3 linked regions of the Saccharomyces cerevisiae S288C genome follow. The gene in region 1 interacts genetically with each later gene. Each region holds a gene or a part of one and is shown on either strand. Other genes may lie near its edges.

Evidence for each region. A genetic interaction does not mean that the proteins touch.
Region 2: mutations in XRS2 (region 1) and TSA1 together harm fitness more than expected from each alone (negative genetic interaction), as found in Saccharomyces cerevisiae (5 studies listed by BioGRID, with this or other methods).
Region 3: mutations in XRS2 (region 1) and CAC2 together harm fitness more than expected from each alone (negative genetic interaction), as found in Saccharomyces cerevisiae (4 studies listed by BioGRID, with this or other methods).

What each region holds. Positions count from the first base shown.
Region 1 is NC_001136.10:1,211,371-1,221,266, reverse strand, and holds XRS2 (Xrs2p), read left to right. Parts: upstream 1-3,686; coding exon 3,687-6,251; downstream 6,252-9,896. Other genes in the region: VPS74 (Vps74p), read left to right, coding at 1-155; CTS2 (putative chitinase), read right to left, coding at 319-1,854; DXO1 (Dxo1p), read left to right, coding at 2,157-3,485; trifunctional aldehyde reductase/carbonyl reductase (NADPH)/glucose 1-dehydrogenase (NADP(+)) YPR1, read right to left, coding at 6,425-7,363; KEI1 (Kei1p), read right to left, coding at 7,653-8,288, 8,390-8,419; MOR1 (Mor1p), read left to right, coding at 8,431-8,829. UniProt on the Saccharomyces cerevisiae protein: Component of the MRN complex, which plays a central role in double-strand break (DSB) repair, DNA recombination, maintenance of telomere integrity and meiosis.
Region 2 is NC_001145.3:218,164-221,526, forward strand, and holds TSA1 (thioredoxin peroxidase TSA1), read left to right. Parts: upstream 1-1,974; coding exon 1,975-2,565; downstream 2,566-3,363. Other genes in the region: USA1 (Usa1p), read left to right, coding at 1-1,715; YOX1 (Yox1p), read left to right, coding at 3,243-3,363. UniProt on the Saccharomyces cerevisiae protein: Thiol-specific peroxidase that catalyzes the reduction of hydrogen peroxide and organic hydroperoxides to water and alcohols, respectively.
Region 3 is NC_001145.3:66,692-70,498, forward strand, and holds CAC2 (Cac2p), read left to right. Parts: upstream 1-1,602; coding exon 1,603-3,009; downstream 3,010-3,807. Other genes in the region: NUP188 (Nup188p), read right to left, coding at 1-858; CUE4 (Cue4p), read right to left, coding at 3,044-3,397; YML100W-A (uncharacterized protein), read left to right, coding at 3,447-3,620. UniProt on the Saccharomyces cerevisiae protein: Acts as a component of the histone chaperone complex chromatin assembly factor 1 (CAF-1), which assembles histone octamers onto replicating DNA.

The DNA of each region.
Region 1 (9,896 bases):
CATTTGATTTAGAAAAGGAAACTGAGTTAGGTGTCTCCGTTAATTTAAACAAGGAAGTTAAAGAAGAGATAGAAAACAATCCTGGTCATGATTTACAATTGGAAGTTATTGCTGGTGTATTTGAAGTCTTTTCAAGAATGGATATGCTATTATGAAAATAACAACAAAAATCCTCTCTTTGAAACATAAGGAAAAGTCAAGCTTTTTTTTATAAGCCTCTAACATTAATAAACGAAATTTGTATATATGTATATACATATACGGAGTGGATAATAAATAGACCAAACTTTTTGTTATTATATACGCCCACATTCGTATTCATTGCTTTCTTGAATCCAAATGCTTTAAATATGGAGATAAAAATCCGCCATCGCCATATTTATTCAAGTAATATTTTTTAACTCTCACATCTTGAAATATTGATGGTTTTGATGACACATTAAAGTGCAAGCCTTCATTAAATGCGTTTATCAACGACCTTGACTCATTTGCATAAGCTTCACCACATGACTCCCACCAAAAGCCTCCGCCTAAATTGTTATGTGTCACATATTCAGCCTTAGTTTTGACTGATTTAGTGTTATCATAACTGATAAATATTGAATTTTTTTCATCAAAGCAATATGCTGAAACATATTTTGGATCGTATTGTTCTATTGTACCAATCTTTGGTAAATTTTTGTAAGGCCAGATGCCCTCCTTGCCATCAGCTTTATCTATTTCTTTAGTGGGCTTGCCCACTCCTTTGAAAATTTTGTTAATTAATACAGTATTTTGATTGAATGGTTCGAATTTGTTATCTTTGATATGGAAACTTCTTCCGTAGGCGGCCATTCCCAGTACTAATTTTCTAGAATTGACGCCAAATCTATCGATCATATAATGCATGGCAAAGTTTCCATTCAATTCCGTCTCACTGAATAGATTGCTGTGATATCCTGTTGTTTCTGACCACGAGCCATAATAATCGTACGTCATCATATTCCAGTAGTCAACATATTGATCAATTTCTGTGATTGGCAAGTAAAATAATTTATCCTTGAATGCAGGTGCCGCAATAGATAATTGAAAATGATCTTCAGTACGTTTCCCAAATATTTGGGATTCGAGGCTGTTTAGTTTTAATCGCAGCATTCTGACCAGTTTCAGATATCCGCGAGGTTCTGATTCATTGTTACCAGGGAACTCCCAGTCTAGATCAATGCCATCAAATCCTAATCTGAACATTGTTTCCACCGACGAATCAACAAAATTTTGTAAGAGTTTATCATCTTTAATTATGATTTTGAAATTTTCACTATCAGACCAGCCCCCAATTGACATGATAACTTTAAATTTCTTATCAGAACAGGTATTCTTCAAATAAAATAGTTCACCAATGCAACCTAAGGGTAGGATGTTTTGGACACTATTGTTCGAGCTTTCTTTAATTAGTTCTGAATTTTTAATTGCCAGCGATTTATACAAATTCATTTCTAGATCAGACCAACTATCCGTGTTTTCTATACCACCAGTTCTAGAGTTTATTTTGAAAAATGCATAGTAAATGTGAGACACTTGCTTCAAGTTTATGTCGTGAGGGAAATGAAACCTCGGTTTGTATGGGGACCAATTGGAATAATAGACCCCTGATATAAAGGCTTCGTCTCTTATATGGGTTCCATGATTTTGGACATTACTGGGAACTCGATGTCCGCCATTGTTAAAGTTGTCTCTAATATCATCCGACCTTTGGTTCTTAAAAATTTTATTATATAAACACATTTCAATAATAATCGTTATAAAGATAAGTAGTATTAGTAGGTGAGACACTAAGCTGCTTTTTGATCTGTGCTGAGCTGAGTGTCCTACCATATGATCACTCTTGTATCGTCTACTTATAGAGGTTGTTAGTACCAACCTGCAAATACAATTGTTGGACCATACTACCACAAAAGGTTCTTTTCGTTGGTGTATCCTCACAAATAATGATTATTCCACCAAAATCACCAAATTATTGTGTCAAACTAACTGGGATTACCCCACTATTGATTTTTCCAGTTTTTCCGCAATTTTCGCAGCATGTTTTACTTTTATAATGGCATTGTTGCATTACAGCGCCAGTTGTAGGTATCGATGATTTTATGTCAAAGTTTTCTTTCTAGCCAAACTCAGTTATGTCAACTGAACAAGATGCTGTTCTTGGATTGGCCAAAGATTTAGAAGGTATAAATTTGCTTACTGTGCCCAATCTCGAGAGAGGACACCAAAGTAAATTATGCAAAGAGAAAACTACTTCTGATTCATCTTCGTCAAGGAAGCCTTCACAACAGAGAGACAATTATAGAAAGAGACGTCCGAAACTTATATGTATCCCATATACGTCTTTTCTGCATACTGGTATGCACAATTTTTTGACGAAACCACCAAGAGATATATTTCATGAAAGTAAAGAAGTAGCTCTGTTTACCAATGGCCGGGCTTATACAATCCTACGCAAAGACCTTATACCAAATTTGAAAGAAAGTATTGCTGAATTGTATGAAAGCTCGCTTCTTGAGGCAAAAAAGCGGAAAGTCCCGTATTTAGGCCATGACTTATTTGCTAATATTGATGAGTTCGTTCCCATGACAATATCCGAATTAGATAGTGTATCACCGTGTTTTTCATACATTGAGAACTGGATACTAGATAATCCTGGTAAGGATTTTAAGATCGGCAAGAAATTTACTGTTGTAACCACAAGACATCATATCGTAGATTTGACTATGCATCTCTTTAACAGGCGAAATAGACAAACGTCACTAATTGTAACTTATATGGGGGCGGGCCTTCTTTCATTTTGCAGAAATGTAAAAAAAGATTCTCAAATGTCCAAAGAGGGCATTTATTCAAATGATCCAAATATGAAGAAAATTTGCTATTCAGGATTTGAATTTGAAAATTGGGTAACCGAAAATTCCAAAGTCGCTGATTTAACTGGCTCTAAATGTCCTATTTTTTCTCTTGTAGAGAGTAAACTTTCAGAAGAAATTGGTCTTTTAATTCGCTGCGAAATGGATGCATTCAATCCTGTTTCGGAGACAAACACAGAACTAAAGTGTTTTGCCCCATTATCAATGCACAATTCCAATCATAGGAGAAAACTTCTGAAAACGTGGGTACAGACGGGTTTATTACCGAACTCAGATATCATGATAGGTTTGAGGGACAGTCATAGCGGTCAATTACTAGACATTCAATGGTACTCAAGGGACTTATTATGTAAGAAATTCAATCACCCAGGTCTACCTACAAATAAAAAGGAACTTAACTATAATGCCCAAATTGCGGTAGAATGGTGTCATTATTGTATTGAAGCAATTTGTAAGCTGGTGGAGGCAAATATCTCTGACTATAGCAGTACAAAACCAGAATCATTTGAAATCGGTATAGATACTAACAACGCCATCGTCATCACTAAACTTAAGACTACTCCAAGAAACGTAGAATTATTTGGAATGTAGAGACGTGTATAATATATAATACTTTTCCGAGAAATATTTCATTTTCATTTTCGTAAAGTTGTTAACTACGCTAAATATTAGTACTTTTCTTAAATTTATATGGGGAGCCCTTTTTTTCTATGAAAAGCAATGCGTAAACCAAATAAGCAGAATTTTGTAATAGATGAGCAACAATACTGAGAAGGTGATAACTATAAATTTATGTGGGTAGTACGATACCAGAATACATTGGAAGATGGCTCTATTAGCTTTATATCATGTTGTCTTCAGGCCTTCAAAACTTATAGTATAGGTAGATCAAGTAAAAACCCACTGATAATTAAAAATGATAAAAGTATTTCCAGACAGCATATCACATTCAAATGGGAAATCAATAATAGTTCGGATCTGAAACACAGTAGCCTGTGTTTAGTTAACAAGGGTAAATTGACATCATTAAATAAAAAATTCATGAAAGTTGGCGAAACATTTACTATTAATGCCTCGGACGTTTTAAAGTCCACAATAATTGAACTGGGTACAACTCCTATTCGTATAGAGTTCGAATGGATAAATGAAGTCTGGAACATTCCTCCTCATTTGACACAATTCAGGACGATGCTTTCTGAATATGGTATCTCCACTGAGATTTCTATTAATGATATTCCCGCTAATCTGATGATTAGCGATTACCCAAAGAGCGAGGACAACAGCATACGGGAATTGTATGCCCTTGTTAGTACTATACCCATGAAAAAATCACGGTTTCTGATGGAATTGTGTAATACTCTTCTTCCCACATCTAAAACTAATTTAAAATTTGATGAAATGTGGAACGATATGATTAGTAATCCGGAGTACAATGTTTTTGATTTTGATCCAAATATTTTGCTTTCGAAGTTTATGAGGCTGAATAATATCAGAGTGTTAACTACTATCAAAAGTGAACCACGTCTATCATCTCTCCTGCGGACGTTCAATATAAATTTATTTGCATTTGACAACATTGATAGTTTATATAAATATGTTGACAGCTTGGAAGCATCAACAGAATACCTGATTTTGACAACTACAGATAAGAAAGAAAATGGGAAAATTCTATGTACTATCAAAACGATGTTAACATCAATAATAGATGGCACCTTAAGCGCAGTGATTAATATGAAGGGTGCATCTTCAAGAACTCTAGATAACGGTAAATTTGATCAAATTTCTGAAGGAATGTCTACTATTTTGAAAACATCTCGTGCACCTGAAGTTGAAGCTAGTCCAGTAGTCTCGAAGAAGCGAAAATTAAATAGACGTAGAGTACTACCACTCGATAGTCTTGATTTTTTTGCTGGAGGTTTGAGTACTAAGACTCTATCAGAAAATAGGTCTTTAACTGACGCTAAGAGACTTAATTGTGGCGCAGAATCAAAGACTGTCATTTCAAGTCCCAACATTGCAGAGGCAGATGAAAAGCACGCCCCATTTCTTCAAAACGCACTAAAGCCGACTGAAGATATTGGAAAGAAAAGTGGTCACAGTAGCCCTGGTGCTATAATTGTCAGTAGCCCCAACTTAGGTACTGTGAACACGAGTGAGGATTCGTTGGATAAGTCGCTACAGTCACATAAGTTACCACAGCCGTCATTGCCGGAGGTAGCAGGGATTGGCTCTCAAACCATATCTTCGAACTCCGCTGACTATGAAACAGCTGCTGTGAATTCGATGGATGATGCTGAAGTTACTAAGAATTTTAGGGTGAATCATCACCAGAATATAGAGCAACCCTCTAAAAACATCCGTAAACTTTCTAATTATTCACGAGAAATTTCATCTCCATTACAAGAAAATTGTAAGTCACCTGTAAAAGAGTTATCTATTAAAGAGAAATCTGGTACGCCGCACGCATTTGTTGAAGCTATTCAAGAAACTAAAAATAGAGAGGTCAAAAGAGTTAAGTCAACCATTGTTGAATTGAAGGATGAGGAGTTGAGCGAGGAAGCTATTAATCAGCTAAAAAATTTGGCTATTGTAGAACCTAGTAACAATTTACTGAGGAAATCATTTGATAGTGAGGGAAACAAAACAAGCAGAACAACTGAAAAATGGGAAAATAGCCTAATGGAGCCAGAATGGCATAAACGCAAGAATTTCAAGACTTTTGTCAAGGTACGTCCAAAATCAAAGGCGCACAAAGAAGAGGGTAAAAATAACACTCAAAGCTCAGATTTTATACGAAATGCAGCCTTTTTAATCACTAGAAATTATGTTCCGTTAAAAAAATACTCCAAAAAGGATACAACTACAAAATGGGGCACAGAAGAAAACGAAGATATGTTTGCTTTGACGGAGATGGAAAGATTTGGATCGAATACATTTATGTCCGATAATATAAACTCAAACACTATCCAGAAAAGATCTCAAGCTCTAAACAGATTCACGAATGAGGATAGTTCAAATGAAGGAGAAGAAGATTCGTTTTCTTTTTCTCGTTGTTCAGGTACTGCAGCCAGCGTTCAACCACTAAAAAACAAAATTTTTATTACTGATGAAGATGATCTGGGTGATATTGATGATAAAAGCGATAGACTAAATCACAGAGAAAATAATCGTAATCTTTTTGTGGTGAAGGAAATGAACTTACGGCCAAACTTGTCAGAAGAATGTTCCAAGCAAAGTAGACACAGTAGAAGCGCAACTAGTAGATCACGTGGCTCTTTTGGGGCTTCTAATAACGGTGATGGCGACGACGACGATGACGACGGTCCGAAGTTTACGTTCAAAAGAAGAAAAGGATAATGATAAATTTTCCGAGTATTTCCAATTTCATTAAATTATATTTTGCATTATCATTCGATATATGTGTATATATTATATGAAAATTAGTAAAATCAATGTTTGTTTCAGCTGTATCGGATCGGTTTAAAGAAGCACTACAGGTTGCTGGAGGCATTAACTGTAATGTAGCGCGCTCATTGGAAAATTGGGAAGGATCCCCACTTCATATCAACGACTCTCTTTGTACCATGCACTTTGGATAGGTTACTAATAGTCTTGAAATCATCCTCAGGCAGAGTGAAAATCTTAAAATTGGATACAATTCTTTCAGGATTAACCGATTTGGCCAGAACAACGTAGCCTCTTTGAATACTCCAACTGATAATAAGCTGTGCTGGCTCAACGCCGTGCTTTTTAGCCATATCAATAATTGCTTGCTCTTTTAGTAAAGGAGCATTAGCACTCCCAAATGGTGAGTAGGCTTCAACAACAATACCCTTTTCCTTACAAAAGGCAATCAATTCGTCTTGTGGTAGCAATGGATGAATTTCAATTTGATTAGTAGCTGGTACCACCTTGTTATTTGGAGATTCTAATAATTCTTTAATGTTGTTAATAGAAAAATTAGAGACACCAACGGCTTTAGTTTTGCCCGTCTTTGGCAACTCTTGCATCAACTCCCACGTCTTGATAAAATTCCATTCCTTAGTATCGATGTCAACAGTGCCATCTTCTAATGTTGGAATGCACAGAACGTTACCATCAGTAACTCTGTCGGTTTTCAAAGGCACTGGCCAATGCATCAGATATAGGTCAACATAATCCAAGCCTAGTCTTTTCAAAGACTTGTTTAGAGCAGCTTCCGGATCACGTTGTTCCGTACCCCAAAGCTTAGTAGTAATAAAAATTTCCTCACGAGGGACTCCGGAATCTTTAATAGCCCTGCCAACTTCTTCTTCATTCAAATAGATAGCCGCAGCATCAATGTGTCTGTATCCAGCTTTCAAAGCTGCAATTACAGAATGGTAACCGTTATTGTCAACGGAACGCCAAGTGCCGAAACCCAACACTGGAATGGAGGCACCAGTATTTAGTTTTAATGTAGCAGAAGAATTCTTTAACGTAGCAGGCATGGTAGATTATTATCTGTGGGTATATTTGCGACCTGATTATATTGCAAAGTTACTTTATTATCACTTTAGAAAAGAAAAGGGTTTCACGGAATTGAATTGCAACCAAATAGGGAATTGCGTGCTATATAGTTTCCTTTTTCCTTTTTTTTCAAAATTACGTAAGAGCTACTTAAATACACACGTGATGAAAAGTGACAATAGCATCAGTGAGAATGATTTTATGATGTCAGAATAGAAACATTTCTTCATCAGTGTAAAACGCTATAACGCTAGGGCTTTATTTTACTATTTACTCTAACAAATTCTTACATAGCTTATAACAACCTTTTTGGCTCTTAGCCCACAGTCTTTTCCAAATAGGCTTGTTTTTCAAGTTTTGTTCTACGTCATCCCTATCAACTAAATATTTGGGGTGGTGTAACAATTCTTGAACAAAAGATGCCAAAATGAAGTTAAAGTAGAACCTGAATATCAATGACACCAACGTAATTAAAATAGTCATGGTATATTCGTAGCTTTCAGTTGCACTTTGTTTACTTATATCAATACCACGTTCTGTCAGCTTACCTGTCGATATTGGGTTACTTTGTAGTGCATTATTTCCATCAATATTAGCAGTGTCTTCCAAGGTGAACCATTGCGTGGTAAACCATAGAGTAAAAAAACAAGTGGAAATGGTATCGATTGTATAAAGTACGCAGATTTGCGAAAATACCAGCAAGTTTGGCTTATGAATCAAATACAGCCCTTGTGAGAATACGATTAATGTAAATACCGACCAAAGATATGCTATCCATTGCATAAAATCCAACGGATGACCCGTGAACAATGCTAAAATACCATAAGCACCACTGCATTTGTTTAGAATGGAAATACCTAAGACAATCTCAACTGCAAGGTATAGCGGCATAAACCCCAAAAAAGACTATGAAAAAAAAATATGTTTGAGAACAGGTTAGTAAAATTGTGCTTTGCTTCGAATCCTTACAAGTTAACAAAAATTTATAGCGTTTGCCGGAAACATACTTTTGGAAGGGTTAGAAGAGATGATCTCATAACTAAGGTTAATGGTTACAATTGGTAGTTCCTCCCTGGTATTATTTCTTTTCTTCGTAGTTTTTGTACAGATCACTTATACAGCTTTACACAGATTTTCCCGCTTGTTGTGCACTTTTTTTTCGAAGATTATTGAAGAGGGATGCGTTTGGTACAATAAAAAACATAGGTTCCCAAACCTATATAAATATATATATGTATATGTATATATACTACATATATGCTTTGAGAAATATGTGAATGTTGAGATAATTGTTGGGATTCCATTGTTGATAAAGGCTATAATATTAGGTATACAGAATATACTAGAAGTTCTCCTCAAGGATTTAGGAATCCATAAAAGGGAATCTGCAATTCTACACAATTCTATAAATATTATTATCATCATTTTATATGTTTATATTCATTGATCCTATTACATTATCAATCCTTGCGTTTCAGCTTCCACTAATTTAGATGACTATTTCTCATCATTTGCGTCATCTTCTAACACCGTATATGATAATATACTAGTAATGTAAATACTAGTTAGTAGATGATAGTTGATTTCTATTCCAACATACCACCCATAATGTAATAGATCTAATGAATCCATTTGTTAGTTAATAGTTTAAATGTTTTTATCGGAAGAGGTTTTGTCATCACATCAGCAATGTTCTTCTTGGTCTCGATGTAGTATACGTATAAATTATTACCTGATACTTCATCTCTAAGTCTCATTGCCTTTGTGCCAAAAAATCTGTTTCTAAATTTCTCTTCATTTGTAGACTTAATTATACTGATCGTTGATCTACTATCAGTAAGTAAGCCTTTAATAATTGGTTTCTTGTTAAGTTCTTGCACAAGGTGACTGAGGTTATTCAATAGCGGTATAGCTTCACTGACTGCGTGTATTTCTGCTTCTGTAGTTGAAGTGCATGTTAACGAAGCCTTTGTCGACTTTCCTCCAATCACTTTTCCGTTGAGTAGGAAAATGTTACCAATTTGTGACTTGTAATATGGTTGGTTACCATATGAAGCATCGCTTATTGCGACTAGTTTATTATCTGGCTTGGTAGGTTTGTTTTTGTGCCATATTAATTGTTTATCTCTAGTGTCCCACATGAATTGTATTAACTCATATGTCATGTCTAAAACTTGCCTAGAGGGGAATAGTATATGTTGAGCAAGTGTGTTGATGTAGTATAGTAAGTCAAATCTAAATTTATATCCAACATATGAAGCTAGACCAATCAACTTTTGCATTTCATGTACCTTCTCTTTGTATTCATCTTCATCTATTTCTAGTTCATCCTGGTCTATATAAAGACCTGGTTGACCTGGAGCGCTAAGTTTTCTTCCTTTTGGATTCAAAGGTACGTTTAATTTGGGTATTTTCTCAGTTAATGAGTTTTCCATACCTAATTTCATGTATTTACCTCTTTGATATTTGATTTCTAAGCCAAGTATGTCATATTGAATTTCCTCATCACTTTCG
Region 2 (3,363 bases), on another chromosome or scaffold:
ATGCCACATTATCTATAACTCAAATGAATGTTAAGCCCGATACCACGGTAAAACAAGTGAAAGATTTCATATGTTCTGTTTACACTCACTCATTAAACTTGAGGAGAAATGATATCAAGTTGATTTATAAGGGACAGTTGCTTCATGAAAATAATTTTGCAGGCAACTCTTCAAAGATCAGCGAGTACATTAAAGAGCCACATGAAGTGAAGGTCCATGTACAAATCAACCAAGAGTATACAGAATCTGGGCCTGGATTTTGGAATGAAGTGTTCAACAATCCGAATATTTTCCAATTCATGCCTCCAGATACAAGGTCACAGTCACCTGTTAGTTTCGCTCCGACGCAAGGACGATCTCCTGCTGCAATACGTGGCGAAGAACGGGGTATACCATACGTAACCGAATCTGGAAATGACATCGTGCCCACAGATGAGCTTTATAGGAAATGCATTATCAACGGGGATGAAGTAGTATTCATTCCTGTTAGCGAACTAAATCCACAATCGAGCTATTTGTCCGTGATCAAAGGCGATTACGGTGAAATTAAAATCCCCATATCTAGTAATGACTACAGAATTAATGGCGATAATATTTTGCTATCACCATCTGCGATAGAGCAGTTAGAATCTGCTTTGAACTTCAAAATCGAGAGACCACGGGATTCGACACTCTTGCATCCGTCTGGTGAGCATGTTCGAGCTGCAGATAATACCTCTTCGGCAAATGATAATAATACAGTTGAGAATGACGAGTCAGCGTGGAATAGAAGGGTAGTGCGTCCCTTGAGAAACAGCTTCCCGCTGCTATTGGTATTGATAAGAACATTTTACTTAATTGGCTATAATTCATTGGTTCCCTTTTTTATTATTTTGGAGTTTGGAAGCTTCCTTCCCTGGAAATATATCATTTTACTAAGCTTGCTTTTCATTTTTAGGACTGTTTGGAATACCCAAGAGGTGTGGAATTTATGGCGAGACTATCTCCACTTGAATGAAATTGACGAAGTCAAGTTTAGCCAGATCAAGGAGTTCATCAATTCCAATTCATTGACCTTAAATTTCTACAAGAAATGTAAGGACACTCAATCCGCTATTGATTTACTGATGATACCTAATCTACATGAGCAAAGGCTATCGGTCTATTCTAAGTATGATATTGAGTACGACACCAACACCCCTGACGTTGGACAATTGAATTTGCTATTTATCAAGGTGCTATCGGGTGAGATTCCTAAGGACGCGCTAGATGAGTTGTTCAAAGAGTTTTTCGAATTGTATGAAACGACAAGAAACATGAACACACTATATCCTCAAGACTCTTTGAACGAATTGCTGCTGATGATTTGGAAGGAGTCCCAAAAGAAAGACATCAATACGCTACCCAAGTACAGAAGATGGTTCCAAACCTTGTGCTCGCAAATAGCGGAGCATAACGTCCTTGATGTCGTACTCAGATACATAATTCCAGACCCGGTAAACGATAGGGTGATAACCGCTGTGATAAAGAACTTCGTGCTCTTTTGGGTTACACTACTCCCCTATGTGAAGGAGAAGCTGGATGATATTGTTGCACAGAGAGCAAGGGACCGTGAGCAACCGGCTCCATCTGCCCAACAGCAGGAAAACGAAGATGAGGCCCTCATAATCCCTGACGAGGAAGAACCCACCGCCACAGGTGCGCAACCTCATCTCTACATTCCTGATGAAGACTAATTGCAATGCGATGTGGCCACGTTATATAATGCGTTTAAGGTGTACGAAAACCCATGCTGTTCTGGCCCGTCGGGTTTTCTGACAAATTGTCCTTTAGGGATTTTTCGGTTTGGCTCGGGTTGGCAAAGTCGGCTGGCAACAAACCAGGACATATATAAAGGGAGGTAATTCGTCAGATCAATGCCGAACCGTTCTCAACGGGCCTTCCCCTCGTTCAATTGCTCACAACCAACCACAACTACATACACATACATACACAATGGTCGCTCAAGTTCAAAAGCAAGCTCCAACTTTTAAGAAAACTGCCGTCGTCGACGGTGTCTTTGACGAAGTCTCCTTGGACAAATACAAGGGTAAGTACGTTGTCCTAGCCTTTATTCCATTGGCCTTCACTTTCGTCTGTCCAACCGAAATCATTGCTTTCTCAGAAGCTGCTAAGAAATTCGAAGAACAAGGCGCTCAAGTTCTTTTCGCCTCCACTGACTCCGAATACTCCCTTTTGGCATGGACCAATATCCCAAGAAAGGAAGGTGGTTTGGGCCCAATCAACATTCCATTGTTGGCTGACACCAACCACTCTTTGTCCAGAGACTATGGTGTCTTGATCGAAGAAGAAGGTGTCGCCTTGAGAGGTTTGTTCATCATCGACCCAAAGGGTGTCATTAGACACATCACCATTAACGATTTGCCAGTCGGTAGAAACGTTGACGAAGCCTTGAGATTGGTTGAAGCCTTCCAATGGACCGACAAGAACGGTACTGTCTTGCCATGTAACTGGACTCCAGGTGCTGCTACCATCAAGCCAACCGTTGAAGACTCCAAGGAATACTTCGAAGCTGCCAACAAATAAGACGCTTGCAGAGTTGTCTAAATGACTACTTATTTAAAATTCACTCTTTACGTTTATACCTATCTATCTATATATAAAACCCATAAACTTAATGCTATTCACTGACAAAACGATACACTACCGTCTAAGAAGCTATTCACACTAGCTCAGTTCTAATAACAATCATCGTCTGGCTCTAAAACGCGTAAACCATTCACTGCCACACTCACTTTAGCTCTGTTGCTGCCCTTCATACGCTGAGACGCGACGCTTCTTTTCTTTCATATGATTTCCCTTCTAGGCGACACGCCATGCCCCAAACGGGGAACACCGCGAATTCCTTCTGGTGCCCGGTTTCCTCTTTGGGAAGGGCGTCAAAATGGTACAGCTCGCTATAGTCGCCAATTACTGCAGATGCTTAAAGGCTTCTGCAACTGTATGTCCAACCTAGTACGTGGAAACTTCAAACGCGAACAATCTGTATGCTGTTTCGGGCTACTTATTGCTCTATACGGTTTTTAGTGGACACGAACTCTTGTAATTATTATATATATATATGCCTTGGCATTTTAACAAGACTCTATGTTGTGATTTCAGTATGATTTGGGTGAAAACACAGTGGTGACCACAGAACAACGAGGTAACAGTTCCAGACCACTACCTTTCCCCTTCAATCTTTGTGATTTGATCAATTCTTGATGTCACAAGAAACAAAAATGCTACCTTCTCTATCTAGTCTTCTATCGGGAACCGAAATCTCGTCCAGCCCCGTATCACCAAGCTTCACTAATCCAAGAACGAGTTTTCACCTCGATGATC
Region 3 (3,807 bases), on another chromosome or scaffold:
TGACTGAATATCAAATTGCGCGATTGAAGTGTTCAGTCCAAGTATCAATATAGTTGTGATAGTAAATAAAGATGAAATCCTGGAAATAAGCGTTTCTGAGAGGTAACTGAGGTCTTGGAAATTCTGAAACTTGTACAATTGTAGTGACGAGGTATCTATACTCTTGTCTGTTGAATTTATATTTCTGCAAAATTCAACAAATTGATTTTGATACTGTAGAAACCATTGATTGACGATATCTACTGGTACTTTTGTGTTGAGGATCATTAAATTCAAAATTTGTAATATCTGCAAGATAAACTTCAAATCAGAAAATTTTTTTAACTGCACCAATGAGACAATTGTGAACATGTCTTGATCGTTATTATAATCATGTGCTAAAGATGAAGCTGTAATAATGTCGTAGTTCTGGATTACAGATGATATTATAGAAATCAATTTCCCCACTACATTGAATCTATCGTTGTCAATAAATGAATATGTCTCGAGGTCGATGTCAGGGTTAACGAGAAGTGAGTATACTATATGAAGTCTAGATGATCTCTCAGACATAAAGAATTCTACAGCATGAGAAAGGTCCTCAGATTGAGCAAAGAATGGATCATTATCGACGTTTATTTGCAATAAGTTTGCAATTGTAGAGCGTAACTTGTTATGATCGCCGGAAGAAGTTACATTCTGCCTTATTGTGTTCAGACTCTCGATAAGATTTGTCTTGTTAGCTTTCAAAAACTGTCTTATTTGGGCCAATTGCTTGGCATCCACAGCGGATACATCAGCAGCAGCATCGTTCATAAAATTAGCAACATGAGTGAAGGTCAATTGTGGAGAGGAATTGCCAAATGAAGGTGTAGCCATGGCTGATGGGGTCCTTTTTTTAGCGGTGGAAAGGGTTATCTCTTTATTTGTGTTTCTGTTCGAATATTAAAGATGTCTCAAAGTATTCATTTCAAGAAGAAAATTTTTGGTATTACAAAATATTCTTACCCGGAATATATACATATATACCTTAACTACAAGCAGGAGCCGGCTTTCTGGCAAGGAGGGAGAAGACATAGATTGTTTGCGTATATATGTGGGAATAGCGTCCAAGCACGCCCGTGGCTGAGGGAGCACCACGATCGTTCGGTGTACTTGACACCTCTATATGGTATGTTCTTCCCTGATATTGATATCAGCACAATTACGGCTCTAAGAAACGATGAATATAAAAAACGTTAATTAGGAATTTGACATATGTGCTAGTATTCGGGCCCCTGAGCAAGTTTGTGCGCACGACGCCTGTCCGTTGCTGCACATGCTTGCGTGGGGCCTTTTTGTCGTGTTTTTATTTAGGGACTGTTATCGAAGGAATAGATTTCTGTGGTGAAAAGTAGAAAACTACTAGCTTTTATAGACGGTGGGGGAGAAAAAGGAAAATTAGAATTGAAAAAAATTTGAAAAAATATGAAAATGTGAAAAGGACGCCTTATTTCCTTGGGTTGCCCGGCGAACACGTTAGTTAACTCGCTGTCTAACTGATGGGCTATTATTATAGCGTTATAGTACGTATCAGAATTTAAAAGAAGGAGGCAGAAAAGCTTAGAGCAAAGGGGCAGGACAATGGAAGCTTCACATTTGCAAATCTACTGGCATGATTCACAACCCGTTTACTCGCTCACATTCCAAAAGAACAGTGCGAACGACAAGCTTTTCACCGCTGGTGGTGATAACAAGGTTAGGATATGGAAGTTGAACAGAGATGAAAACGGACAAAATGGGGGGGTGCGTAAGATTGAAAGCCTTGACTTTCTTGGCTCGCTGACGCATCACGAACAGGCCATAAATGTAATCCGATTCAACTCGAAGGGTGACGTACTGGCGTCTGCGGGCGATGACGGCCAAGTGCTGCTATGGAAGCAAGAAGATCCAAATACACAGCAAGAATCTGTGGTCAGACCATTCGGAATGGATGCGGAGACTAGTGAAGCAGACGAGAACAAGGAGAAATGGGTTGTGTGGAAACGGCTGCGTGGTGGTAGCGGTGCTACTGCGGCGGCAGAGATTTACGATCTAGCGTGGTCACCTGATAACAGGAACATAGTGGTGGCATGTATGGACAATTCGATACGACTGTTCGATGTTGGAGCTGGGATGCTGGTATGCGGCCAGTCGGATCATGGTCACTACGTCCAAGGTGTTGCATGGGACCCATTAAATCAGTTTATTCTCTCACAGTCTGCGGACCGGTCTCTGCATGTATATGGAGTCATTCTTTCATCTGCAGGAGTGGTTACAGGGCTGAAACTTAGAAGTAAGATTGCCAAGGCAGAACTGCCTTGTCCAGGTGATGTCCTGAGGACAAATTACCTTTTTCACAACGAGACGCTACCTTCATTCTTTAGGCGATGCAGCATATCGCCTTGTGGTGGTTTGGTCGTAATTCCCAGTGGTGTGTATAAGGTGGCTGGTGATGAAGTCGCGAACTGCGTATACGTGTATACTAGATCTGGAATACTGAACAGCGCTGGTGGCGTTAAAAACCGGCCTGCGATTAGAATCCCATCTTTGAAGAAACCAGCGCTGATGGCGGCTTTCTCGCCCGTATTTTACGAAACGTGCCAGAAGAGTGTGCTTAAGCTGCCCTATAAGCTAGTATTTGCCATAGCAACGACTAACGAAGTACTCGTGTACGACACGGATGTATTGGAGCCGTTATGCGTTGTGGGAAATATACATTACTCACCCATAACTGATTTAGCATGGTCTGAGGATGGCTCGACCCTACTAATCTCATCAACAGACGGATTCTGTTCGTATGTATCGATCGACACAGAAACGCAATTCGGTTCAAGGATAGAGCCGCCAGCGATGCATGCAGAGCCACTAGACACTGACGAGAGCGCGGTAGCGGCTAAGAACCAGCGCGAGGCAGGTGGGATCGTGAACATGCTGCCGGTGAAGAAGATCCCCTGCAATAGTAGCGATAGTAAAAAGAGGCGCATACATCCTACGCCAGTCGATTTGTGATTTTTAATATATTTAATGCGGTACATAAGAATGCCTAATCTAGTTTGCCAGCGAAGATATTTTCCATTGTGTGCTCAATGGACCCTGTGTTCCTGAGATCTTGCACGACTTTTTCCTGAGGCACATGTGGCGCCATCGTCATCACGATTTCAACCATGTCACTATTAACGGCTCTCTTTCGATCACTACCATGTCTGTTTAACCGAGCAACGCGTTCCTCCGGAGCCGATGGTACTGGCTCCGGAGAAGGGTCGTTGGTGGCGACCGAGGGCGCCGGTTTGGCATCCTGTACGGTTCGCGAGGGTACTTGCTTGGCGCCCCTGTGTTTCACGGTGTAAACAAACAAGCACACCATCGTCAGTATAAACACTATAGTCGATCCATCCATTTTTACTTTTGTGCGCGTGGGTAGCCGTGCCTCGTCTGTGTGTGTGGGAATGTATAAATGTGTCCCGAGTTATTATTCTAAAGCGGGCACCATTGTAGTAACTTATTGCGAAATTTCTGCTCTTCTCGTCTCGCTCAAAAATCGCGTTCAGGGTAAAAGGGGCGAAACAGAGGGCCAGATAGAAATTTCGAGAAAAGCGGGTCACCCCGCCCCTGCATTTTGATATGGCGTATTTGGGATTGCTTGCTCGAAAGTGTCTAAGTCCGGCTGGCGGGCCTGGCGCCCTCGCCGAAGGGAGATAGGAAGGGGCGGGGGTCCGGGCAGCGGCTATGGTGTCAGTTACCTAGGGAAGGAGAAGGGGGTAGAACCAAGGGGCTAGCACACTCACCCTGGGGCCCCCGTCTAGCCAA